Linked DNA regions of Yarrowia lipolytica. The protein of the gene in region 1 interacts with the protein of each later gene in a biochemical or structural test. Links are inferred from orthologs where the notes say so. Each region holds a gene or a part of one and is shown in the gene's direction. Other genes may lie near its edges.

Region 1 (3,171 bases):
GTGTCGGACTGATTGTGTCGTAGAACCGCAGAATGTCAGAATAATGCAGGTTGACCACCTGGTCCGTCAGTTCTCGTTGGAACTCGGCCATCTGGACTGGCAGACAGTAATCCATGCTGCGGTTGTCGGAAGCAGCGTTGATCACCGCATCTGTCGAGAGAATCGGCTCCGGCGTCACGTCCAGAATTTTTCCAATGTCCATTTTAGTAGGTGTCAGGGGACTTGATGCAGATAGAGATCAGAATGTCGTGAGGAAGAGATGAAGTGGTGAGAGAGTGTCTGCGTCAAGTTAAGGTTTGGCTCGTGGTCGTCAGTATTTGACAACGTTCAAATTCGCGTAGGAGTGGTGATCGAGGTGTAAAATTCACGTGGAGGGCTTGAAATGGAATTTCTAAGATTATGTCCAAATTTCAGCTCATTCGAGAGCCATATTTCACGTTTTTGAAGTATACATCCCACCTGCTGTAGGGAAGCTTACGTACCATTAAGTTGGTTGCCCTTATCCTCTGTTTTTCTGTGGGGTGTAAGAAACGACGGTGATTTTCATATCAGCAAGAATGTCACGTTTTTGACCTCCAGAAATGCCAGATATCGGATAGATTTCTTGTACAAGTAATGGTATTTCAGTCACCCTGCTCGTAACACCGCAATCATCTGCTTAGTAATCTATATCTTGATAAACTACATAGGCCATCGTGTGTACAGGCACTGGTGTGAAATTACGTGTTGGTCACTTGTAAGCGTCTTTAGTGTGTGCTAATAGGACTGGGCAAATACTGTAGAGAGTATAATACAGTATGTGGTGTGGTTGTTGTATTACTTGTAGTAGCTAACGTGACCTTCAGGGAAGGCCTATATTTGCTGTGCTGTTTGATCCATCCATTGATAGCAATTTTAGCGTGTATAAAAATAAATACATTCTCTTGTACTTGTACTTGTACTGTAGAAGTGCTGGTACTTGTATCTCTCATTCCACAAGCACATAGAAATCGCATGCTTAGTAATCATGCATTGTGATACGTTTGTCAGGAGCACTGCAACAGAGAGATCAAGAGCTACTGAACGAGACCAGACACTAGGATTGTTGTGGGGAATAATATCGTTTCTACAGGTTTGGGGTCCATTTCTCGTTTACATACATTGAACCCTGAGACTGAGGAAGATTGTTACACCACACGCAGGACTATCAATTCGTGTCTATCAGTTATGGATGAGACAAATTATTGAGACCATTATACTATAAGCAGCAGTGGGAAAGACTGGTGTCGTTTTATTATCAAGACTGATGAGAACTCCAGAAGTAACTGGAACATCGAATCCGTGCTCTCTACTGGGCCGTTGAAACTACAGTAAATTTACAATGAATTCCAAATCAACTACAAGCGTTGAAAAGAGCACATTGCCCAAGATGGCACCATGAACTCCTATACACTATATTGTATTGTAGTCTTACAGTATCATTAGGCATAACTTCGCAGATAACCTCTCATTATTCTTCTCGTCCGACTCCTCCGCACAACCCTGATTCACCTCTGACATCTCAGACCTTCACTCATTATCCTGCATATTATCACAACGCGTTTGAGTTTCCTGATCTCAATTGCACCTTTCAACACCAGCAATGACGGAAACCAGCGTGGGCAAGACGGAAAACACGATCTCGGCCGACGAGGTGGCACTTTATGACCGGCAGATTCGACTGTGGGGCATGGAATCGCAGGCGCGGATGCGTAACTCCAAGATCCTACTCATCAACATCGGGGCAGTCGCCAACGAAATCGTCAAGGACCTGGTGCTCGCAGGTATCGGCTCGTTGACTATCGTGGATGCGCACGTCACCTCTGATGCCGACTTTGGAGCACAGTTTTTCGTGCAGGAGGGCGACGAGAACAAAAACCGAGGAGAATCTGCCCTGCCTCGAATCTCACAGCTGAATCGACACGTTACCGTGGAGACGGTGGACAAGGTCATTTTGGACCTGGACAAGGAATTTGTGGGCAAGTTCGACCTCGTGGTTATCACCCAGGCCACTCTGAAGGAGATTGTGCACATTACAACCCTGTGTGAAGAGACAGACACCACTAACATCTGCGTGGGCATCTCTGGTCTCTTCTCCTACGCCTTCATTGATTTCAGAGAGTATACTTACAAAATTGAGACTCCCAACAAGCCCTCGACCATGAGCATCCCTGAGCAGGCTACCTTGGTGGGGACAGTTGAGTTAGAGACTGGAAACTACAGTGCTTCTCTCAAGCAGAGCTTTAAGCCGTTCAAGCAGGTGCTCGAGGCTGTTCAGACGCCGAAGCCCTTTGCTCACATGCGACCTAAGCACAAGTCTCGAATCCCCGGATACGTGCCTCTTCTGTTTACAGGCTGGGAGTACGAACAGACAAACCCCGGAAAGTCGTGGGGCGATTTGAGTGCAAAGGAGTTCCACGAGCTGGGTGTGGAGCAGTGTTCGAAGCTGCAGCTGCCTCTGGGAATCATTTCTGAGGAACTGGCACAACAGGTGCTCACTAGCAAGGACGCAGAGATTGCCACAACTGCATCGATCATGGGAGGAGGTATTGCTCAGGAGGTGCTCAATTATCTGGCCCGATCACAGATTCCCATCGACAACTTTTACGTCTTTGATGGAATCAACGGAGAAAGTCCGATCTACAGGTTGTAATGCAGTTGACAGTTTGGTTTTCTGTATTGGATGATGTAATATATTGTTGATGCTAGCTTCTTGGAACGCAACCGTAGTAAACATTGATTCAGATCTACAAGTACATACTGTACTTACAAACACAATAACAATCATTCACATAATAATATTAACCCACATAAGATCCTCCGACTACAATGTAGTACATACATCCGTTGAAAAACAAATCCGCTTAATAAGGAATACCGTTTGTGATTCGCTGGAACTCGTCGTAGCCCTTGGTGTAGAAAGACTCGATGGACTTCTTGATGAGTCCTCGGAAGTGAGTGGCGGCCTGAGCTTCAGTCTTCTCCAGAACAAATCGCCGTCGCAAGTTTCGAATGGTATGCTCCTTGAAACAGGGAAGTCCAGAATCCAACATGGGCAGAACCAGCTGGATGATGGTCTCAGCATGAGGTCGACAAGCCAGGAAAGCCTTGACAGACAGTTCCTCGAACCATCGGTAAGCCTGGGTCTGAGTG
Region 2 (2,838 bases), on another chromosome or scaffold:
CTTCATCACTCGCCTATATAATCTATCACTTACTGCTGGTTGCACTCGGGCATGTTCTCGGGCATCTCGGGCATCTTACCGCCACCAAGACCTCCCAGTCCAAGACCATCGAGACCGCCAGGAATGCTACCGTCGGCAACATTGGACATGATCTCATCCGGAGGAGCACCGGTCTCCTGCATCTCGTCCATCAGCTGGGTGATGACGGCTCGGTCGGCTTCGGAGTCGTCAGAGTAAGAGGGGTCCTCAAACTTGGCACAGATTTTGCCAACAATGTCCTGCTGCAGCTTAAGTCGGTCTCGCTCCTTCTCCTCGGTCACCTTGGATCCGTGCTCGTCCCACCACTTAGGGTAGTTGTCGTGCATCTCCTTCAACGGCTGGTACAGAACCTCCTTGGAGGCCAGCTGACGCATGATTCCTCCTAACATATCTCCAAAGTCGCCTTCCCCGCCCTCTCCAAAGCCTCCAGCACCCGACAGCTGCTCCATGAGGCCAGCGAGCATGTCGTCACCAAGGGGCATGTCCCCCATCTCCTGGTTACTCTGGTTCAAACGGTCAGCAGTGGCGGAAATGGTCTCTTTGAATGACTTGGGCTGCTGGGCCTTTTCGGATGCGGTGGCGCTGGTAACGTTGTTGATCTCCTTGAGCAGAGACTCAAACTGGGCCTTGGACTCGGGGTCTGCCTCGATGTCCTTAAGGAAGTCGTCCATCTTGAGCCCAGCGAGCTGATCCTCGAGGTTGGGCAGAGAAACCTTCTCCGCACCGGCCTCCGCAGAGTCAGTGGCCGCATTCTTGTCAGCAGTATCGGCTCCCTCAGTCTTTGAATCGGTCCCGGAAGTTTCGGTGCTCTTCTTAGTGGCATCAGGCTTAGCCTCGGCAGTGGTAGGAGCAGTAGATGTAGTAGGGGTAGCATCCTTCTGAGCTCCAGGAGGCTTGCTCAGCACCTGCTCGTCGAACTCGTCGAGAAAGTCATCGAGGTCATCAAGATCTTCTTCGTGTGACATTGTTTTTGTGGGTGTGAACTGTGTGGGGGTGTGGTTAAGAAGCGAACACGATGGAAATCAAGGTGTTGGTCAACTTAGTTTCTTTCACAAGGTGGGGTGTGCAGGGGGAGTCTATGATCATCAGCCGTCTGAGTGGTTAGATTTGGACCAAGGAGGTGAGACAGGTGTAATTAATGAAGTAGTGGTAATTAATACCACGGAATATTCAATGGAAAATTCTTCCTCCACTTCCTCCTCTTCTGGCTTCTATTTTTTGGCACAAACGTGTGTGTGGGGTACGGGTTAGGGGCGTGGGGCAAGTGTCAGTCAAGCTGTCTCGCTGTAGAAAGAGGGCCCTTGAGTGTGCAAATTTGTGTCTTTGGAACAAGGGGGTCTCGGAATGCAAAGGATCATGAATGAAAAAGATGCTTCAAGAAGGTCTCTTAGTTAGGACAATTTTTTGTACTCGTACTTGTTCCACATCTTCATTAAATGAGCTCTGATAGGTGTAGATCCTTCTGGGAGAGGCTTGACGCTTAGTAATATTGAAAGTCAGTAATCCAGCCAAACCACCAACAAATATCTTGGGCGTAGGTTTTCCGTAGAATATACGCCAAATGAAGTAAATAATTCTATGATTGGACTCTCCCACGTGAATAATAAAAACACCTCACTTCCATACCCACATAGGACTCGAACCGAGTGCTGAAAGTTAGCTACGTTACTATGGAGATAGTCGGCCACAAACAAAACCTCTTTAGGAGACATCATCACATCGCATTCTCCACACACACCACACACAAGACACAACCAGCAAAAATGTCGGAAGACTCGTTGATGCAGAAGCGACTCATGGAAGAGCGGTGAGTTACAAAGACCAATCTTTATTCACCTAGACGCCCCGTTTTAACTAACTCAGGAAAACCTGGCGAAAGTCACATCCGTTTGGCTTCTTTGCTAAGCCCGCCAAGGACCAGAACGGAAACCTGGATCTCACTAACTGGAACGCCGGCATCCCCGGAAAGGAAGGAACCGCCTGGGCCGGTGCCACATACCCCATGCTCATCACCTTCCCCAAAGACTACCCGACCAAACCCCCACGATGCCGATTTGATGCTGGGTTCTATCACCCCAACGTCTACCCCTCGGGCACCGTCTGTCTGTCAATTCTGAACGAGGAGGAGGACTGGCGACCTTCCATCACGCTGTCTGAGATTGTCATGGGTATCCAGGAGCTCATGAACAACCCCAACCCCCACTCTCCCGCCCAGAACGATGCATTTGCCGCCTTCCAGAAGAACAAGGAGGAGTACGATAAGCGGGTGGCCGAGCAGGTCAAAAAGTACGCTGCTTAGAGTGATACTCGGCGTTCGTATTAATGCATTACGCGATGCTGGAGGACTTTAGAACTGGAGTCTTGAAGGAGGATCCAAGGGCCGAGATGAGCTGATCCACCCTCACGCGACTAAACATTAAATATAACATATGTATGCGTGACGCTTGTGGGTCAGCGGTTTTCGCATGTTTTAGTCAATAGATGTATTTTTTTTCTCCCTCCTGTCCAATGTTTGGTGGTTATGACAGCCCCAAAGTTAAGCCATTTTTCATTAGTCAGCTCCATGGGTTCATTTTCGTGGAGCTCTGTAAGCGTGACTCAGTTGACTCAACGTGTGGGCATGGAGGTTGGGTTTATCCGTTGCTTGTCATACAAATTTGAGGATATGGTTTGCTGTTAATGTCGGAAAAATGTGCAGGAACATATATCAAGTACACAGCTATAGCTACACGAGGGGATGTAACCAGGGGGATATGACGGCTTCACTTCATAGTGGACAGAAATACCGCTCAAAAACCC

Evidence for each region.
Region 2: of the proteins of YALI1_E33220g (region 1) and YALI1_B29539g, one has a biochemical effect on the other in vitro, tested with the Saccharomyces cerevisiae proteins (3 studies listed by BioGRID, with this or other methods). The link is inferred for Yarrowia lipolytica from reciprocal best matches to the Saccharomyces cerevisiae genes AOS1 and UBC9.

The regions. Positions count from the first base shown.
Region 1 is NC_090774.1:3,320,463-3,323,633, reverse strand, and holds YALI1_E33220g (uncharacterized protein), read left to right. Parts: upstream 1-1,621; coding exon 1,622-2,671; downstream 2,672-3,171. Other genes in the region: YALI1_E33234g (uncharacterized protein), read right to left, coding at 1-202; YALI1_E33150g (uncharacterized protein), read right to left, coding at 2,883-3,171. UniProt on the Saccharomyces cerevisiae protein: Could be involved in a ubiquitin-related process important for DNA damage tolerance.
Region 2 is NC_090771.1:2,952,982-2,955,819, reverse strand, and holds YALI1_B29539g (uncharacterized protein), read left to right. Parts: upstream 1-1,802; coding exon 1,803-1,846; intron 1,847-1,902; coding exon 1,903-2,338; downstream 2,339-2,838. Other genes in the region: YALI1_B29548g (uncharacterized protein), read right to left, coding at 30-1,004. UniProt on the Saccharomyces cerevisiae protein: E2 ubiquitin-like--protein ligase mediating SUMO/Smt3 attachment to septins and PCNA. Seems to be involved in degradation of S- (CLB5) and M-phase cyclins (CLB2).